4 linked regions of the Kluyveromyces lactis genome follow. The main gene of each other region encodes a partner of the protein of the gene in region 4 in a complex. Links are inferred from orthologs where the notes say so. Each region holds a gene or a part of one and is shown on either strand. Other genes may lie near its edges.

Region 1 (4,774 bases), on a different chromosome or scaffold from region 4:
TCCTTTGGCTTTTGAGATCATTCCTTTCCATTCAATAGCATAGCAACTTTTGATTAGCCATATGACACGATATATTGGAACGAATTGTGTGTAGCATTGTTCCAAAATGTGCCTTTTCCTAAATCCATGAGGAACAGATTTAGTTAATTTCCGCAATGATGTGTTCGATGAGCTTAATTCCTGAAGCCACAGATTCCTCTTTTGATCTGTAAGCGTGACTCTGTTAGGCAAATGAAAATCTTGACCGGACCATTTAGTGAACCTTGTACTGTCTTCTATGTCCAGTGTACTTATCCTATTAATTTCTTGTTCTCGTATCTCAATAATCTTGGATAATTCATCTCCTAACAATGAGGAAACTTTGGGAAGTGATCCTTGTAAAGCTGAACGAGCAGAAATGGTTTCAAAGTTTACCCTAGAAGCAGTATAGTAGCCTTTTGCCACGAACTCTTTAAGTATCTTATCCTCCTCTTTGGTGTGAATCCACGGATCAAAATCAGGATAGATTTGTGGGTTGGAGTCGGTGAGCGGATGTAATTCCTCCGGAGGAGTTAGTAAATATTTTGACGGTGACATCAGAAGTATCTAGCGGTTATTCTCTGACTACTTATATGTGTTAACAAGCACTAGTTAAGACAGTTTAACCTGCCTAAGGTACTTTGAAGGTTTATAGTGTTTCAGTGATTCTGAACGATCAATCACATATCAATTTAAGGTAAAGAAAGTTCTAAAGTGGAGGAAAAACACTGCTCGAACAATAAATAACATGTCACATGATCAACTCATCAGAAGAGGCAAAATAGATAGTAAGTATAAGATCATTAGTGCCTTCTCAAATATCACTTAGACGAGCCCCAAGAATGGGGTACAGTTACTATGATCTTTTTACTTATTTAGTGATAATATGCTATTTACTGTCTGCTTCTTTGCTGGTTTGGAGTTGTTTGATACAACCCTTGTACGTATCCTTCAAAGTGTCTTCAATAGAGAATAATTCAGACAACTTTTCTTCGTCAAGGTAAGCAGATGGTTGATAACCATCAATGTCACGACTGAGGTCAGTGTCAATATGTTGTGACCAGAATTTCTGTTCACCCTTACCAACTAGAAGGTTAATTGCTATACCCTCAGTATTAGCCCTTGCAGTTCTACCACAACGATGAACATATTGTTGAGAGGAGATCGGTAGATCATAGTTTATCACATGAGTAATTTCATTTATATCGATACCTCTAGCCATTATGTCCGTTGAAATTAAAACTGATTTCTTTTGTTCTGAGGATGCAAATTCCTGTATTAGTTTTCTGCTACTACCCTTCGAGATGTTCGAATGAATTGATGAAAGGAACATATTATACTCATCTTCAATTATTCCTGATCCTAACATGGCATGTAATAAGCTTTCTAATCTGATCGAAGCTTCGTTACTCTTCACAAACACTAATATTTTAGCGTTTCTCGAAGCACTGCTCTTGATGTCGTGTATTATTCTTAGTAAGAGTAGTGGCTTGAACAGACTCTTAGCAGTAGGAATATTGACATTGAGTTCTTGCAATTTCTTAGGTATTGAATATAATTTAACAGAATCTGTGAGGAAGATCTTGGGGTTGTGGAGATACAAATTGTACAACTTTTCTGCATTCGTAGTCAAAGTAGCAGAAAAGACCATTTTGATTACGTTTCCTGGACGTTTATCCTGCTTATCGTTTGTCAAATGGTGGAAAAGCACTTGGTTCCAATTTTGGAATGACTGATTTAATAGTCGGTCTGCTTCATCAAGGACTAAGAACTTCAAAGTTTTTAGGTCAAATGATTCCATCTGCAAGTGATCGACCAGTCTGCCCGGAGTGATGATTAGAATGTCTGGAGAGTTATACAAAAATTTGTTGTGTTCTTCTTTCAAGGAGTTCTCGAGTTTCGACATTGATACATTGAGACTGGTCCCTTGACTTAGTTTAGAGAGACAATCGTAGACTTGATGAATTAAAATTTTAGTAGGAACCAAAATTATTGCCCTAACTTTATTCACTGTTCTAGATCTCAAAATTTGAACCAAAGGGACAGAATATGCTAAGGTCTTACCGGAACCAGTTGATGCGTTTACTAATATATCACCAACTCGTCTTGTGAAAAGTTTTCTGTTTGCTTTAAAAGATGAGTTTAGAAGCGGGAGCACTTTATCGAATAGAATGGTCTGAATAGGGAACGTTTCAGATGAGAAATTGGAGGTAATATTTTTAAGCAGACGTGCATCTAATTCACCTTCGTAGCTATCGAATTGTTTAACCATTTTACTATCGTAATGAATTTTGGTTGCTGCATCCCACGCAGTGGATTTATATGTAGACGGATCTAGAAGCTTCAAGGCTTCATTGGTCACTTTGGCCGGTTGAGGAATTGGGGTAAGACTGTGAACATCTTTCATGGATACGTCCTCATCGTGTACATCGTTGTCACTACTGACCTTGTCTGAAGCGCTCAACGCACCTTGCAGGGAAAGAGTCTGTTGAAATCTATTTAATACGGAACTGTGCTTTGCATCAACTGATTGCTGAGAAGTTTCTGTAGGCGCAACAGATGCAACCTTGTTTTCATCTTGCTCACTAATTGTATCGGAATCATCCTCACTGCTGGAAGCATCATCCTCACTGCTGGAAGCATCGTCCTCACCAGAGCCTTCATCATCAGTTTCCGCATCTCTTTTCCTCTTTTGGGGCACAGTGGGTTCTTTTATTTGTGTGACTTCAGCTGTTAGTACATTTTCAGTCACCTTAGTAGGATCAAACCTTGCAGCAAACATGTTATTGACTGGATGCTATCGTTATGCTGTCGCTATGCTGTTACTGACCTTCTAAATTCCTGAAGCTCATCGCATCATATTACATCTCATCGCCATTCGTCTATTATTTTATTTCAGAACGGAATTCATAAAAAATTTCAATCTGTAAAACTTGAAATAACGACAAGATATAATAGAGTTAAGTCACTACCATGATATCAGTCAGCCAAAGGTTCCAGCAGTTAGACAAATATCTCGCGTCTACGATAACACTCATAACGTCATAAAATGTTCCCGTCATTGAGATTACTATCACGTTCTGTATGGAAAGGTCCAAATATAGTCCCATTACCAATAAAAGAAGCATTGGCCAAAGGTACGCCCATTAGAACAAATGCCAGATCTGCCACCATATTACCTCAATTTGTCGGACTGAAATTCCAAGTGCATAATGGTAAGGAGTATGTCGCGTTTGAAGTGACAGAAGATATGGTAGGAAGTAAGCTAGGAGAATTCGTACCAACAAGAAAGAGATTCAGTTATACTCAAACTAAGAACAAATGATTTGACATTTATGAAAAGCACAAAGTTAGTCAGACAGCAGCATGTATATAAAATCACACCTGGAAGTTCATGTACCACCGTGTACTCCATACGTAACTGTATCTATTACTAAGAAATGATTTATTGAACAAGTGCTCTCGATTAATTGGGAGTTAATGGTGTTTCTCATTGTTAAATAGATGCAAATGTTAATCATAACGAGTACTATATATAATAATTGAAGTAAAATAGAATATACACTCTTTACTTGAGGTTTCTTTTGAATTTAATTTATGATTAAGTTTGTGGACTTTTTTCAACCACTAGATCTTTCTCCACCGGATACACCACTTAGTAGCTTTTCCTCTCTAATCGCACCAGTGCGATCAATGACAGGCCAATTTCCCCAGTTCGGTAACCGCAGAATTACGCAAGTAGCATTATCAGAATGTTTAGAGCTAATAGCCATAACATATTGTAAAACTTCCTGAGCACAGAAGTGTGGAGAAGCAGTTTTCAAACCTCTATTGTTCACTGTGGAGGTGATGAGATCACAGAGTTCTTGATCGCTCATCAATTCAGTTACTCCGTCTGTCACTAAACATAAGAAACATTCATCACCACCGAACTGCAATTTTGATCTTTCAGCATGTGGTAACATTTTGGTTGGTCCAATGAGGTACGAATAAATGTCCGGCTCGCACGTTAGACCATCACGTTTTCCGATCCGATCGCCAAAGGATCGTGTATTTGCAAAATTGTTCAAAAATCTAGTATCACCGAAGGAGTCAGTTTGGAATTGACCTCCAAGTCTTCTGGACTCTCTACTTGATGAAGGATGATGAACTTTAGCCAAAGAATGAGCAATACCATTCTTGTCACAAAGTATAATTTTAGTGTCACCGATTTGAGTTACAGCCAGTTTTAGTAAGCCCTGTGGTGCAATGAAAAATGATTCATCGTAACATTCTTCTTCATTATAAGAGGTTAAAAAAAGGCTTGAAGCAGTCGAGCCACCAGTGAATATTTTCATTGCTTCTTCTGGTTCTAAATCCGAAGAAAATCCACATATTTCATTTAAGTCATAATTGAGGTAGGATATGTACAAACGTAAACGTTCGTATTCACTCAACAAGCTTGTCTTGTCAATAATGTTTCCCCATTTGTCAAAGATCATTCTTGCCCCATTTTTTGGCGCTACACCGTCCGTGAGTAGGACTTGCTCCACTTTAGTGTTACATTTTTTGATATACCTCTCATAGTACTCCTTTCTACCTTTGTATATCCTCGACCAGTACTTCCCCCCCACTAAGTCCTGATATTTTTTTAATACAGCGTCAAACTCTTGTCTGATGGGGACCATAGCTGTTATATGATCGTGCAAACCTGAAGCCAGCATCTTAGAGACACGATCTCCTCCATGACCGTCAAATATAGAAATATTCAAAACGT
Region 2 (5,530 bases), on a different chromosome or scaffold from region 4:
ATTTTTCCTGAACCATTTATCTTTATCCATTCCATCTTTCTCCCAAGCCTTAGTCCTCTTATGCACTGGAAAGTTCCGATCGAACGTTACTTTTCTGTCCTTAATATACGATTCGTTAGGCACTTTGACCGCAGAACGAATCTTGTTCGAATAACTTCTTGTGATGTTTCTGAGCATGCTATACTACCAATGGTTTTACTTTATTTGAGTCTGCTATGCTCTTGTTAACAGATAATGTATCTTTTATTCCATGCCTCTCAGCTCATCTCATCTCGGCAATTTTTTGTTATCAAATAGCTTAATCTGAAAAATTTCAGAAAGTCAAGTTTCAAGCTTTTCTTTATTTGTAAAATATTCCAGAAGATGATTCATTTCTTTATCGTAGTAGATTGACAGAAGCGTAAAGGTATATTGGAAGAAGAAAGAAAGTAACTGGCCTCAACATTAGTTTGTGTACTTATAAGAAGCCTAAAAGTTGCTACCATCGTTCATATTTGGCACATTTTGTAAGAATTCCTCGAGAAAGAACTGTCAACCAAAAATGACTTATCCGGAAAGAAAAGCTTTTGTTTCTAGAATAACGAATGAAACCAAGATTCAAATTGCCATTTCATTGAATGGTGGACCAATTTCTATTGAGAACTCTATTTTACAAAGGGAGGAATCCGATGCTGCTAAGCAGGTAACTGGATCCCAAATCATTGATATTCAGACAGGCGTTGGGTTTTTAGATCACATGATTCATGCTCTTGCGAAGCATTCAGGCTGGTCTTTGATTGTTGAATGTATTGGAGATTTGCATATCGATGACCATCATACCACCGAGGATTGTGGTATTGCTCTTGGCCAAGCCTTTAAGGAAGCTTTGGGTCATGTTCGTGGTGTGAAAAGATTTGGTTCAGGATATGCACCATTAGACGAAGCTTTATCACGTGCTGTTGTGGATCTATCCAATAGACCATACGCAGTAATAGAGTTGGGGTTGAAGAGGGAAAAGATCGGTGACCTTTCATGCGAGATGATACCTCATTTCTTGGAGTCCTTTGCTGAAGCCGCGAGAATAACTTTGCACGTTGATTGTTTGAGAGGCTTTAACGACCATCACAGAAGTGAATCTGCATTCAAAGCACTTGCCATTGCAATCAAAGAGGCTATTTCAAGCAACGGAACCAACGACGTTCCTTCTACTAAGGGTGTTCTAATGTAAAATTCCTTTTCAAGAAAGGAGTGGACTCTCATTGCATATGCGCGACATTCATTTTAAGTTTACATCAAATATATATTCATCCATTTTGTTCCATTTAAGTTACGAGCACGGCCCTTAACCGCTTGACGCACAGCTCCGTCTTCCGCGTAACATGACTGTATTTATTACGTTTTATTTACAAGTGACTTCTAGCTATGGTTGTGTAATACCTACCATATATCAACTTACATGGTTGTCTTTAATAAGTTTAGGAACTCTTCACTTTGAGATCTAGATTCTTCGGCGGTGACAGATCTTACAGTTTTTCTTGAAGAGTTTCTGGAATCGGATCTGGTATAATGTGATCTGCTTTGACCTAAGCCGATCTTCTGAGCAAAACTGAAGTCATTTCTTGGTTCTACTAAAGATGCAGACAATGTTACATTACCCCCTTCTACCTTTGGATCTTCAATGGCAAATGGTAAAACTTCTTGTCTGACAAAATCACCCATGTTGTATTGTAGAGCACGAGGATTACGGCCCACAGATTTAGCTTCAGCGATGAAACCACCAACAGCGACTGCGCGATCAGGTCCCTGGACAGATAAAACTCTGCCTGGCACAACGTGCTTTTGTTTTACACCATTTGGAGATTGTCTAAGTCTACCTTTCAAGTTGTAAGTTAGACCACCGGTGCCCACAATGTGCCACTCCGAGTTAGCTGCTGTATTAATATTCAACTTTCCCATCTTTTCATGTAAGAATTCAGTAGCTAAAGCCTTCAAAGGTCTGGTGTTTTCATTTCTAACACCAGCAATGGAATCCGGGTGTTTCTCTAACAGCCACTTCTTGAATTCTGATCTGTGTTGGTCAATTTCTTTCAACTTTCTTGTCTTTTCAGAAGGCGCAGTGTTATGAGCAATGTTCACAGCATTGCTGAATGGCGCGTATTTTCCGGCCCTCTTGGTTTTCCCATTGAATAGAGGATTGGATTCTTCTTCAACGTAACGAGGGGCTAACCCCATTTCTTGGAATCTGATTCTGTTCCACTGGTATTGACCCATTGGTTCAAAAGTCGTTAGTCTTTGTTGGGTGTCCAAATCGTTGTAAACCAAATATCTGGTCTTGATTTTCGATGGAATGCTTGCCTTCAAACCCCATTCCTGACGATATAAGGAGGATGGCTTGGTCTCAATCACTTGATGAGTTGGATGAGAAGAGTTACCTGGACGAAACAATGGCTTGTCCGTCTTTGCCACTTGTGCTATCCTGGAATTTTTTAACAAATTAGATATATGGGACATAGCTTTCTATTTCGAATTGTGAATTCAGTAAGTATATCTGTCTTCAAGCTAAGGACTAACAGCCCAGTTTAAACCCAAAAAGTGAATTATCTATTCAACGAATTGCTGATAGTTTTGGAACCTTGTCACAATAGTCGACGATAGGAACTAATTTAGCTCTTCAGTCAAAATCAGTAGCTGAGCTGTGTTTAAGATTTATCGAATTGAATGCTATTCAATGATATCGAAATTTTTTTATCATTAGAAACGTAACATTTTACCCGGACTTGCGACAGACCATTGATGAAAGTGTCACATTTAGTACTCATTTTAAAGGAAGAATGGTTTCTTAAGTGATGCTAATATTTAAAACGAGATCAGCACCAGTATAACATAAGTCTTCTATGAGGGGTTTCCCATAATCAGAAATCGGTGTTGAGTTTAAATTTTTTTTTCAATTGCATTATTTATTATATTGTTTACTACAGAAAACTATTCATTTTTTCGTAATAATTTCATATCAACAGTTCCTTGGTTTAGTCGATACTGTATGAGAACCTCAGTTTCGTAGAAATGTTTGTACTACTTGACAAGGTTATCAGATAGTTTCGAGCACATGTCTCCGCTATCCAGAAGCTCAACAAAAACTGATTTTTTTCCAGTAACCTCATCAACACAGTAGATGTCACGATCGGTCTGAATGTCAATCTCAGGTGCTCTAATAAAAGGTTTCCAGTTCCCTGTGTAAGCTTTATGACCAAGGTAAAGTACGATGGTAATTGGAACAGCCATATAATTTTGAAGGAATGAGACGACATTCAGCCTACCGTTGGATTCTAAAGGAAACAATGATACCCAAAATTGTACTATCAAAATAATGGCACAAATAAACAACGAGATGTAACTGCCATATACACCACATGGTGATTGATATCCTAATTGGTCTAAAGCTTGATCTTGATCTTTCATTGCCTTTCTGAATCTCAAATGAGACACACAGGTCATACTCCAAGTAAAGATAGTGGAAAGACCGCTGATTGACAATAACCAAACGAAGACTGTTTCCTGGTCCTTATATTCGGCTATGAATGAAAATAAACCAGTAAATGCTGAAACGCAAAGACATCTAAACGGCTTACCACTTTCATCCAATTTACAAAAATATTTCATCGCAAATCCTTGTTCAGCTAAGGAATGTAATGTTCTTGAGCTACTATACATCGCATTGTTTGCGACAGAAATAATAGACAATAGAATAATTGCATTAACAATATGAGGTATTATCCTAACACCATTGGTTGTTAATGCGACCACATATGGAGATGCATGGGTCAGTTCTGATCCAGACCCCATCAAATATGGGGAATTAAAGGGCACTAATAATCCAATAATCATCAAAGAAACGCAAAAAATGATGGCAATTCGTACAACAACTTGTATTGACGCCCTTTTAATACTTCTTGGCATGTCTTCTGTATTCTGTTCAGCACAACTCAAGGCGACAAACTCGGTACCACCGGTACTAAAGCAGGCAGTTATCAACGTTGCAGCAATTGACTTGAAAAGCCCCTCATCGTTTCTAAAGAACCCTGGACTATGGAAATATTTGAAACCCAAATATCCGCTAGTGCCGACAACACCAGTGTTAACGAAAATACCTAAAATTATGAACCCAAGGATCATAAGCACTTTCAAACAGTTGAAAATGCAATCAGCGTCCGCATAACACCTTGCACCAAAGAAATTCACCCCGCATACCAAGGAATAACATAATGCAACAACGATAGAAGGATTGATATTTTCGTTCCAAAAGTTGATAGTCATAGAAGCGACACATATTTCTAATGGCAAAACGACAGTCCAATTTAGAAAAAATAACCAAGAAATGGTAAAGCCCACAGACGGGTCTATGAAACGCTTTCCATAAGATGTAAACCCACCAGGCATACTTGGAAAAGCAACAACAAGCTCACCAACAGTTTGCATGCAACATGTCAACATAATACCAATAATTAAGTAACCAACTAAAGTACCACCAACCCCCGCAATAGCAATTGATCTACCGTTCCCCACTAATAAACCGGTCCCAATACCTGTTGCAGTAGACATCATGAAAACATGAAACGGTTTAATTGACTGTTTTAACTCATTTTTGGGAAGAGTAACATCAGCTGTAGTATCGATACTGTTCGTTCTTGTGGGATCTGAGAGGTTGGAAAAAGTTGCAACTTCTTTTAAACATTCTTCAGTCATTTTTTAATAATTGACTGTTCAGCGAATTAGTGCTGTGATTGATGAATGTCTATTACTCAGGATGAAGTGGAGAGTAGCAGGGAACAGGACGCATCCTCGAAAGCTAGTTTTTTTATATAAGAAGTGATAAATCTGACACGCACCCCGCTCCTGGCAGATTTAATCATCCATATCCGTTATGAAACTCCTTCTAACACAATTTCTGAATTTTTTAGCATTACAGAGCTGATCTAATACCATAAACTCAATTGAAACCTGTTGAAATGCACCATTTCCTGAATACTCTTTGACATATCACAACACTTTTTTTTCTCTTAAAGCTTGAAAAAAAACTGTCGCACGTCAGAAACGCTGTTTGCCTGATATGAAAGTTTAATACGTAAATGATACAAAGTCTACAATGTGTTGTTCAACTCTCAGAGATACCCGCTCAGAGAAAAATACAATAGCCAACTGATCCTTCTTCACAATCTAATTAAAAATACGTTAACCTGGAATAACCTGCAATGTAAGCCGATCTTCTAATCGTTAAACATGACTAACTCCCAGGCACGTTACATACAGAGAACTAAACAAAAATGCATCTAGAATAATGAGGGAAAGGAAAAATTTTTCGCACATTAAAACGCAGAGCCCAAAAAGCGTGAAAATTTGTGAAAAAGAAATGAGTATTTTAACTGGGAAAGAAAAGAAGGAATATAATACAGAAAAAAAAATTGAATTGAAGGAAGAGATACGTTTTAGTAGTTACTTTTGTTCAGTTCCATCCTTTGTACTGTTTACAGACAGGTTAAATTATTTTGTATTC
Region 3 (5,874 bases), on a different chromosome or scaffold from region 4:
GCTACTGTGAATTCACATCTACTCGACTACAAGTTGACCAGCACAATTAGGATCAACCTGCTTTTCCAGAAATGTTCTCTTCTAGACCCAGTAACCAAGAATTTGCTCACTTTCCCTTAACAGGTATCGAGGCGTTAATTCTAAATAAAGCAAATGAGGGCTGAATTACAAAGCACCATACCTCAAAGTTTTGAAAACCTGGCTCTTGCTATAGTTATTCACCTTTTAATTATCAAGCAATTATAAATCTCAAACACTTCTGGACATACAGATGCGGACAGAGCATAATAGCAAATGAGATATTTCGTAGGATATTCGATGTAGTACGGCTTAGTGACGTCGGTTGTTGTTCAGGAATGTACAATTTCAGGTGATTTAAAAACCCTATGCTAAAAGGTTCGATGATCTTTATTTGAACTGACCTGAATGTTGGCTGTGCTGCCGTTGCGTCTGCTCAAACCTCTTACAGGCATGTTTCCGCGAAAAGTGATTGCTTAAGTAAGAAAGAAAGAATGCAGTCACGTGACAAATGCTGAAAGTCTTGAAGTCATTAAATACGTTACCACTGCTTCTAGAAATCATTATCGTTCAGAAAACAAAAAGTTTTCATTTCTATAATAAGGATTCCTACATTCTACACGAAACTGTTGCAATTACGAGGCCAATTGAGTGCTATTTTGTGTCAGTTTAATCCGTTATTGTATTGCAGTTTTAAAATAACTCAGCTATCACACATCAAACAGCAGAAACAATGTCCGAAACAATTGAAGGTAACGTTCAAATTCTAAGATTATCACCAGGTGACAGTACCAACTTCCCAAAACCAGGCGATTTGGTAACAATCCATTACACTGGTACTTTGGAAAACGGTCAAAAGTTTGATTCTTCCGTTGATAGAGGTTCTCCATTCCAATGTAACATTGGTGTAGGTCAAGTTATCAAGGGTTGGGATGCTGCTATTCCAAAGTTGTCCGTTGGTGAAAAGGCAAGACTAACTATCCCAGGCCCATACGCTTATGGTCCACGTGGTTTCCCAGGTTTGATCCCACCAAATGCTACTTTAGTCTTTGATGTTGAATTGTTGAAGATTAACTAGATGTATAATGTCATTCTTCTGAATAAAACACATACTATTAATTTCCTTCACATTTTTTCTTTGGTTTCTCCCTTGATTCCTTCCAATTGGTCCCATCCATTATTATTATTATAGCTTTACATCTTTCCGTACCTTCTCATCAACCTTTCAACATGGGAATTGCTATCAAATTGTAGCCGTAGTGTTTGTATGCTTCCATTTTAACATTCAATTTTTGTACATCAACGAAATGCCTATAATATAAACCATTAGCTATATTATGTTGTTATTGCATTATTGAAAAAACAATCAAGAACAACTACTTCCTGCTTCTAAGCCTGCTCGAGAGCCTTGTAGTTGGTTTTGTTATGGATTTTCTTCTTGTTCTCCTAGCTGGAGAATCCACGTCGGCAAGATCTTCAGGAACTTCCTCCGCAGCGGCAACTTTTTGTTTCTTAGGGCGCGGCTGTTGAGATGATTCCGTTTCGTTCTCTTCTGCTTTCCCTGTCGGCGAATTAGCTGATTCCTTGGCAGCACCTTCAGATTCATCAGCAAATGTGACTTGTTTTGTAGCTGTAGTATCTGCGGCATCAGCAGTCGATTCTTTTTCGCTACCAGATCTCCCTTCTGTATCGTGTTCGACATCTTCCTTTTCATCGGTGTTTCCGCCATGGGGTTGGTCTTCTTTGTTTTCACTTTCGTCATCAATGCCTCGCTTTTGTGAACGTGTCAACCTTGTAGAGCGTCTTGTCCTTGGTTTCTTATGAGCATCGACAGGTTCATCGACAGGTTCATTCGCCAGTTCGCTCACAGATTCTCCAACACTGACTGGCGGAGTGGTCGCCATTTCTTGTTTCGCCTGTACATTATTTTGCTCAGTATCCTTTTCATCGATATCCTTTTCTCGTTCCCGTGGCTCTTCTGACTCTTGTTCTACTTGCGTATCCTGTGATTCCGCACCCTTCAGTTTTGCCTTGTCATCCGCAGAAGCGGTCTCCTCTTGCTTAATATCTTCCACCTCATGATCCCTAGCATGTTCTAACATAAGTTCTCCATAATCTTCCCACGATAGTTCAAATTCCGTCTCTTGCTGGAGTCTATTTTGTAATGGTATTATATTTCTCTTAAGCTCGTCACAATTGTCAACATCATTGTCACTGTCATCATCATTATCTAGTTGAGCGTCCCCTTCTGTCTTTTTGTTTGTAGTTTCGGTTGGTCCGTCATCATTATAAAATTCAGGGTATGGCTGGTTCTCTACTTCATCTGCCTTCTCTAAATTATAGTACCGACTCAATTGTTCCCAAACGTCCTCCCCAGAAAACACTTTATCTGAGCTGCCTTTATCGCTTTGCAAAAGTTTGATTGGATACTGATCTGGCTTGTTCAATCGCTCAAGCAAACACACCATATGGAAGTGTTTATGTATTCCTGCAGGTTTGAACAGCATCATCCATTTAAACAGCCTTATTTCCTCCACTTTACTCCATGTTTGCCCTCTAGGTGATTCTATCTTTACAGCGGACATCGCAGTGAACCGTATCGTATTACTTTTATCTGAAGTATCACAACCTTATACACCAAAAGAACGTTCTTGCAATTGATATAATAAAGTTCCTATCAAGATCGCTGATAAAGCAGATCGTATGAGGCTTGATACCATCTTCGCCAGTCCATCTCAATATGGTTCTATGGTGTTTCTCATCTTTCTAAACTATGAATGCTAATATTTGATATCATATGTCACGAAATTCCTCTAAAAATTTTTCAATATCGGAAAGCTTCAAGCATTAGATAGCGTTTGATTGAAAAATATTATGCAGGTAGTTCGGATATGCAATGTATTTCCATTTCGAAGAGTCCGTAAGCAGTCAATTCTGGTTAGTTTTGTCAATACATTGTGAAGAAAAAGACCAGCAATGCCTAGGAAAGCTGTACTTCTGAACTCTTTGTCCAGAGGGAAGGTTCGTACCTCTTTTAACAAGTACAATTTGTTCAACTTGTATAAGAAATCTCAGGTCAGTTTTAGATCGAAAACACTATACCAACAGAAATGGACTTCTAAACAGGAAACTCGTGCCTACCATGGCGAACATTTAACAGAGAGTAGGTGGCAGTCTGTTTTCGAGCCTCAGCTAAACTCTGTGGCTCAATTAGATGCTTCTCTAAGGGGTGGTGATATCGAACCGACGCCCATTCTATTACAAACATACGCTGTACTAGAGAAAAGGCTAGACTTTGCTTTGTTTAGAGCTATGTTTGCCTCGTCAGTGAGACAAGCTCGTCAGTTTATTTTACATGGCAACGTCCATGTGAATGGTGTAAAGATTACTTCTCCGGGATATGCCTTGAAAGCTGGTGATGTTTTCAACGTCAGACCCGAAAAAGTGCTACAAGCTCTTGGTGCCAAGAAACCTAGCTTGAAGGAAGCTTTGAAAGTGGATAATACCCAAATTTTCCTATGGAACAAATATATTCTAGAGGCTAGAAAGAATCCTAGAAAGTTCTGGGATGAAAAGATCGAAAAACTAAGAACTATGGATAGTAACGATCCAAAGAAACAGGAATTTTTATCCTTCCTCGAAAACTACAACAAAACCATGCACATTCAAATGAGGAAAGAATTAGACCAAACCAGTAACGAGTATTTGTTAGCTAAGATCTTTTCTACCGTTAACCGCGTTAACGATGTAGAAAAATTGGCAGTAAAAGATTTCTTGGGCGAATTTTACAATAACGAAAATTTGGCAGCTAAAGGATTCGAAATTTATAGAGAAGTCAAGTCTGCCAAGGCTGTGGAAACGATAGCAGGGAAGCCTTTGGCTGAAATTCCTAATGAACAAGGTGAATTGCTAAAGGTGGCTACAGGAATAACTAAACCTGTTGATAACACAAACGATGCCTTAAAGAAAAAATTCAGAGCCATCAATCATACTATAGTTGATTTGAGACATTTCTATGAAACCGTGGTCAGAGAACATTATAATGACAAGATGGCATCCGTTGATTCTGTTGATATTCCATACGATGCTAAGTGGGCTGAAAAGTTACCATTGCATCAAAAGATCAATGTTCCTGAACTATTGGAAAACGAACCAGCTGCTCAAAAAGCTATCAATTTACCATGGCAAAAGGGTGTGTTTGGTCGTAACGATCCATCTAAACCATATTTCACTCCGTGGAAACCAAGACCCTTCTTAGCACCATTCGCCATTCTACCACACCATTTGGAAATATCATTCAAGACATGTCATGCGGTCTACTTAAGAGACCCTGTTGCACGTCCAGGTCAATCTGAAGTTATTACTCCATTCGGCTTACCTGTACATGAACGTTCATACATGTACTATGTGAGAAGGGGTAAATAAGTTGACGAAAACAAATACACACGAAAGAATGGATACACTGTGACTATGACAATTTAAAAAGAATGGTGTATCTTGGAAACCTTGTACATATTATTATCATTATTTTATCGTATCATATTATATTAATTATATATATATATTTATATGTTCTAATGAGTAAAGAATAAACTAACACCCAGTAACGAGAAGATATACTATTCAGATATTCAACCAGCATGTTCGTAAATCTTGGTTTGTAGTTTACCTTCGACGAAAGTGTGTATCATCTGTTCTGGAAGTGGAACTTCAACGAAGTCACCATCGGGACCAGTTGGAGTGTTGATGTTAATACCAGTGCTAGAAGAGGTGAAAATTTGAGCCTGTAAAGAGTTTTTACTCAAATAAATGGAGCCGCTATCAGACGCGTCGATGGTGATTTGTGGCAGGGTGTTTTCCACTTGAATACCAAATCTCAAACATTTAATAATATCCACACCACTGATGGAAGAATCTAGCACTAAACTGCATTTTTCTGTTTCATTGACAGTAACTGCGTTGACCTTACCTTTGATTTGTACCAATGTGTTGACACATTTACCGATGAAAACAGATTCGTCAATTTTAGTTTCGATCACTAACGGTTCGGCTTCATCTTCATAATTTTCAATAAACCATTTATTACCGATCAATTCCTTTCTTGGAGGCTTCTTAGTCTTCAGAGTAGATGGTTTCTTTGGTTTAGGTGGAGGAACAGCTTTGTCAGAAACCTTCCCTGAGGCACGAAGTTCTGGGTTCTTATGTGTTTGCTGAGACTTTTCTACTTTCTTTAAGGATTTAGTGATGTTTTCACCTTGGTTTAACTCAGCAAACACAGCACCGATTCCACCAGATTCTTGTTCTTTTGATTGTTCATTGACTTCGAATACGGAAGCCGGAGGAGGTGGAGGTGGAGGTGGAGGAGCTCCGGCGCCTGAACTATGCGGCTCACTGGAAGTAGCACCAGAAGAAGAAGCTCCGGATCCCTCGTTGGAAACTCTTTCGTATACGGTTTCGAAATCCTCACCAGTAGTGTCGTTCCAAGTCACACCTGTGGTATGGTATTCCTTAACGTACAGCTTCAAGCTATCGAAAACGGACAAAAATTGTTGGACCCATTCAACGGATTTAGGATCAGTGCTTCTGAATTCTTTCAAGATTCTATTTGTCCAAAACTGGGCAGCGTCCTTGAAATCAGTGATAGTAGACACAGGTGTAGATCCAGCAATCCATGAGAACAGTGGTGATCCCTCAGAGATAGCATTCAAATGAGCGAAATACTTACTGTTACGGTTCTCCTCTTTCAACTCACCAATAGAGAAGATGTTCTCGTTAATTGGGGTCAAACCTTTCACGAATGCAGATGACGAAAAGTCTGGCTTCTTTGATTGTACTGCTGCCTTTAAAAACACCAAC
Region 4 (5,342 bases):
AAAATAGATTAAAAAATAAAAATAGCAAATGATAAAATTATAAAGAAGAAAATAGGAGGAGAAAGGGTTGGAGGAGATGACACATAGAGGCAGAGTAAAGTGTATTAGTGATTATTTACTGATCAGAAAAGCGGTGATTGACCGATAACTTAAAAAGATCCAGATTCCTTATAAAACTAACTTCATTTGTTAAGATATAAAGAAGAATATAAAACATAAAAAAAAACAACAAAACAAAAATAAAGAGAAAATATTACAGAATAAATAATTAGGTAGCATCTGTGTAAGATAGTCTAAAGGGAGATAATGAAATATAAAGAATAGTTAATGAATAAATATATATAGGAAAATAAAATTTAATAACAATAATAAAATAAAAAGAAAAGAATAATCAATATTAACAAAAAGAGAGCGAGGAAAAAGATATATAACGATTATAAATAAAAAACTAGTGTCTTATTCTTAGAGTTAAGTACCACTTCGGATATGAGGGATAATAAGAGGAGGGGGGGGGTTTTTTTTTTTTTTCACCCTCCCCCCCCCCCCCAAAAAAAAAAAAAATGATAGTACGCTACGAACTATTTTTTTAAAAAAAAAAAAAAATCCCCCCCCTCCCCCCTGATGACATTGGGCTTGTACTTCATATTATTAATAGTCGTCATAATAAATAAATATATCTAGGACACATTATAATATATTTGACGGGGGGCTTTTTAGGATATACTTGGGGGGGTGCCACGGGTAGTTCTAATTCCCCGGCAATCCTATTTAGGATTGCCGCGGGCAATACTTATAATAGTATTATATTAATATTATATTATATATTTATTTATATATTTAATATAAAAAAGGTAAGAATATTATTGTTTAAAGATATTCTTATATATTGTACTGATGAGTTATACACCTCATCAGTAGAATACAATATATAAGAATAATCAAATGATATCTAAAATATGGCAGTACAACACTGTTGTTTCATAACCTACATGATGAGTAGCTGTTAAATGATAGTTTCTTAATCTTCAATAATTAATACCTAACATTGCTGCTAACATAACCATATGTAAGAAATGTAATCCTGTACCAGCATAGAATACTGATCCATATACACCATCAGTAATTGTGAAAGTAGCATTAGTATATTCGATATATTGACAAGTAACAAAAATAACAATTAATCAGAATGTAATTAATAATCCTGATAATGCATTTTTTCTATTACCACCTACTAATCCATGATGACTATATGTAATAGTAGCACCTGAAGATAATAAGATAATAGTATTTAATAAAGGTAATTCTGTAGGTTGTACAGCTTGAATACCAACTGGAGGTCATACACCACCTAATTCAATATTAGGGCTCATAGCTGAATGGAAATAAGCTCAGAATAATGCAGCGAAAATTAAAATTTCTGATACTACGAATAATAAGAAACCTAAATTAATACCTTTTCTAACAGCAATTGTATGATCTCCTAAATATGTTGCTTCAGCAATAATATCTCTAAATCATAATGTAGCACTTAATGTTACTGTTAAAATTGATAAATAAATTAAATACATATGTCCAATATATCCATGCATAGTTAAAGCTAATGATAATGCTAATGACATTAATGCAAATGATACTACAATTGGTCATGGTGATGGAGCTACTAAATGAAAGGGAAATTGTTGATGTCTACTTCTTTCTAAATGTGTCATAAATATTTTTATAATCTATACATTTATAAATTTAAATGTTAATTTAATTTATAGAAATAATATTACTTAATATATATATATAATATATATATATATGATAATATTTATATTTTAATATAATTATTATTATATTATACTTACTTATAAACCCCATTGCGGACTCCCCCCCCCCCGAAGGGAGGAGTCCGCAATGGGGAAAAGTTAATTATGAAAACTATTTATATATAGTATATTATTAGTAATATTAAATATATATCTAGTATCGCCAAATACCCCTATAATAGGGGTATTTGGCGATTAATAATTATATTATTATATATAATAGATCTATATAAATAAATACAATTCCCCGGACGCCTCGTCCGACCCTACGGTCGGACGATGGCGTCCGGGGTTTATATATCGATTCCCCCCAATCTCATAATATGAGATTGGGGGGGGGGGAAATAAAATAGATTATCTCTTTAATAATAATTATAAATAGAATATATTATCTTACCCCGCGGATCCTCTACTGGTATTACCAGTAGAGGATCCGCGGGAATTTATCTCTTTCCCGCGATATCATCATATGATGATATCGCGGAATATACATAATTTATAAAATATATAATAAATATTTTATTTTATATTTATAAGTAGTAAATATAATAAACATGTTAAATTTTTTAATAATTTAATAATAATATATATATAGTTTTATATATATATATTATACGATCAATATATATAAATAAATATAAATACAATGAATAAACATACAACAAATTTAAATATTATTAAAAATATTAATAATATAAACAATTTAAATTCTATAAAAGAATTATTATTATTATTAAATAATAAAAGATTAAATAGATCTTTAAATAAAACTTATATTTGAGATTATTTAAATGAATTAAGTAATAAAGGTGTAAAATTACAACATTTAAATAATATTAATTCTTGATCATCTCAAATTTATAAATTTAATAAAACTGAAGAAATTAATAATACTATTTATGATAGATTAGTAACTAAATTATTAACAAAATTATTAGTATTAAATATTAATAATAAAATTTATAAATTAATTATTTCTAAACCTATCTTTGAACATAGTATTAATAAAGTTAATATTAAATTTTTCTATTATTTATCATATAAAAATATTAATAAAAATATTAATAATAACAATAATTTAATTAATAATATTTATAGTAATTATAAATTTAATATTAATAGTAAATTAATTAATTTATTAAATAATAACATTAATAGTATTAGTAATATTTTATCATTATATTATAATAAAGATGTATCATTTGAACCTATTCAATTAAAATATAATTATATGAATAGTGATATTTTAGCTAAATCATTAAAAATTATGAATTCATCTTCTAAAAGAAGTTTATCAATGAATAGAATTAAAAATTTAATGAATAATATGCCTAAATTAAATGATAAATTAATTAGTCAAACATATATTAATAATATTAATAATATTATGTTTAATAAATATAATAATATTATTAAATCAATTAATAATAATAATAATAATAACCCCGCGGACTCCTCTCCTGGTAATCCCAGGGGAGGAGCCGCGGGGAAATTATATAATATTATTTATGAAAATAATAATATTAATACTATCCCTAATAATATTTTAATGTTTAAATATTTAGTAGGATGATCAATTCAATTAAAAGGTAGATTATCTAATAATAAATCTATTTCTAGATCTAATACAATGAATATTTTAAATGGTACATTCCAAAACTATAAATATATTTGAGGTAATCAAATGGTTAATAATTATAAATTAAATTATATCCCTGTTAACCATAATATTACTAATATTTCTGATGTTAATAAAAATGGTAAATATAATATTAAAGTTAAATTAAATACTATTTAATTTATTAATTAATAATAATAAATAAATAATCAATATTCTTCCCCCACGCGGCATTACCCTAGGGTAATGCCGCGTGGGGCTTCTTTCTTTATATTATAATTATATAATTATATAATATATAATAAATTAATATATACATATAATCCCCCCTTCATATTATATGAAGGGGGGGGTAAAAATATAAATATTTTATAATATATAATAAATTAATATATATCTTTCCCGCGTTCTCCTTACTATTTCCTTAAGGACCTCTAAATACTAATAAAAATTAATTTTATATTATTAATTTTATATATAAATAAATATATAATATACATTTTCCCGCGGGGTATAATACTTATTATTAGTATTAATAATTTATTTATTTATTTATTTATTTATTTATTAATTTATTTATAATACTTTTCCCGCGGACTTATTCCCTGGAATTCCAGGGAATAAGCCGCGGGGTGTATAAATAATTTTATATACTCTTCTCCCGGGGACTCCTTCCCATAAGGTGTATACCTGGGAAGAGTCCCCGGAGTTAATATAATTAATAAACCCCACCCCCTTTAAGGGGGGTGGGGAGGAATACGCAATTGGGGGAATTTATAATAATTATTATATAATATTATTATATAGATATAAGTAAGTATAATATTATTATAATAATAATAATAGAGATTAGCTTAATTGGCAGAGCATTCGTTTTACACGCGAAGGACATGAGTTCAAATCTCGTATCTCTAATATATATTAAATATATCAATTAAAATATAAAAATTTAATAATAATATATCAATATACTTATTTAATATTATTATAATTATTTATAATAATTTATTATTAATAAGTTTTTTTCCTAATTGCGAACTCATCAAAACATTAGTTGGATGAGTTCGCGGGAGAATAATATATTAATCAATGTAATATCTAATATATAGAATATATATAGATTAAAAAAAATTATAAATATGTTTTATTTATTAAATTCAATTATTATGAATGATGTACCTACACCTTATGGTATGTATTTCCAAGATTCAGCTACACCTAATCAAGAAGGTATTTTAGAATTACATGATAATATTATGTTCTATTTATTTATTATTTTAGGATTAGTATCATGATTATTATTTACAATTGTAAGAACTTATAGTAAAAATCCTATTGCTTATAAATATATTAAACATGGTCAAACTATTGAAATTATTTGAACAATTTTCCCTGCTGTAATTTTATTAATTATTGCTTTCCCTTCATTCATTTTATTATATTTATGTGATGAAGTTATTTCTCCAGCAATGACTATTAAAGCTATTGGTTTACAATGATATTGAAAATATGAATACTCAGATTTCATTAATGATAATGGTGAAACAGTAGAATTTGAATCATATGTTATTCCTGAAGATTTATTAGAAGATGGTCAATTAAGATTATTAGATACTGATACTTCAGTAGTAGTACCTGTTGATACACATATTAGATTTGTTGTTACAGCAGCTGATGTTATTCATGATTTTGCTGTACCTAGTTTAGGTATTAAAATTGATGCAGCTCCTGGTAGATTAAATCAAGTATCAGCTTTAATTCAAAGAGAAGGTGTATTCTATGGACAATGTTCAGAAATTTGTGGACAATCACATTCAGCTATGCCTATTAAAATTGAAGCAGTTTCATTACCAGCATTCTTAGAATGATTAAATGAACAATAATTATATAATTTATAATTAATAAATTATATA

What was found. Proteins that work in one complex are often made in the same cells at the same time.
Region 1: VAR1 (region 4) and RSM19 share a complex: the UniProt entries of both Saccharomyces cerevisiae proteins name them as parts of the mitochondrial small ribosomal subunit. The link is inferred for Kluyveromyces lactis from reciprocal best matches to the Saccharomyces cerevisiae genes VAR1 and RSM19.
Region 2: VAR1 (region 4) and MRP51 share a complex: the UniProt entries of both Saccharomyces cerevisiae proteins name them as parts of the mitochondrial small ribosomal subunit. The link is inferred for Kluyveromyces lactis from reciprocal best matches to the Saccharomyces cerevisiae genes VAR1 and MRP51.
Region 3: VAR1 (region 4) and NAM9 share a complex: the UniProt entries of both Saccharomyces cerevisiae proteins name them as parts of the mitochondrial small ribosomal subunit. The link is inferred for Kluyveromyces lactis from reciprocal best matches to the Saccharomyces cerevisiae genes VAR1 and NAM9.

Annotation. Positions count from the first base shown.
Region 1 is NC_006042.1:665,063-669,836, forward strand, and holds RSM19 (mitochondrial 37S ribosomal protein uS19m), read left to right. Parts: upstream 1-3,067; coding exon 3,068-3,343; downstream 3,344-4,774. Other genes in the region: SRB8 (Srb8p), read right to left, coding at 1-576; putative ATP-dependent RNA helicase DBP6, read right to left, coding at 908-2,800; type 2C protein phosphatase PTC6, read right to left, coding at 3,639-4,774. UniProt on the Saccharomyces cerevisiae protein: Component of the mitochondrial ribosome (mitoribosome), a dedicated translation machinery responsible for the synthesis of mitochondrial genome-encoded proteins, including at least some of the essential transmembrane subunits of the mitochondrial respiratory chain.
Region 2 is NC_006042.1:87,721-93,250, forward strand, and holds MRP51 (mitochondrial 37S ribosomal protein bS1m), read right to left. Parts: upstream 2,491-5,530; coding exon 1,432-2,490; downstream 1-1,431. Other genes in the region: MRM1 (Mrm1p), read right to left, coding at 1-177; imidazoleglycerol-phosphate dehydratase HIS3, read left to right, coding at 542-1,207; KLLA0_F01012g (uncharacterized protein), read right to left, coding at 3,052-4,722. UniProt on the Saccharomyces cerevisiae protein: Component of the mitochondrial ribosome (mitoribosome), a dedicated translation machinery responsible for the synthesis of mitochondrial genome-encoded proteins, including at least some of the essential transmembrane subunits of the mitochondrial respiratory chain.
Region 3 is NC_006037.1:1,005,689-1,011,562, reverse strand, and holds NAM9 (mitochondrial 37S ribosomal protein uS4m), read left to right. Parts: upstream 1-2,994; coding exon 2,995-4,443; downstream 4,444-5,874. Other genes in the region: peptidylprolyl isomerase FPR1, read left to right, coding at 752-1,096; EAF7 (Eaf7p), read right to left, coding at 1,395-2,603; SRV2 (adenylate cyclase-binding protein), read right to left, coding at 4,650-5,874. UniProt on the Saccharomyces cerevisiae protein: Component of the mitochondrial ribosome (mitoribosome), a dedicated translation machinery responsible for the synthesis of mitochondrial genome-encoded proteins, including at least some of the essential transmembrane subunits of the mitochondrial respiratory chain.
Region 4 is NC_006077.1:34,906-40,247, reverse strand, and holds VAR1 (ribosomal small subunit protein), read left to right. Parts: upstream 1-2,442; coding exon 2,443-3,609; downstream 3,610-5,342. Other genes in the region: COX3 (cytochrome c oxidase subunit 3), read right to left, coding at 900-1,709; COX2 (cytochrome c oxidase subunit 2), read left to right, coding at 4,542-5,312. UniProt on the Saccharomyces cerevisiae protein: Component of the mitochondrial ribosome (mitoribosome), a dedicated translation machinery responsible for the synthesis of mitochondrial genome-encoded proteins, including at least some of the essential transmembrane subunits of the mitochondrial respiratory chain.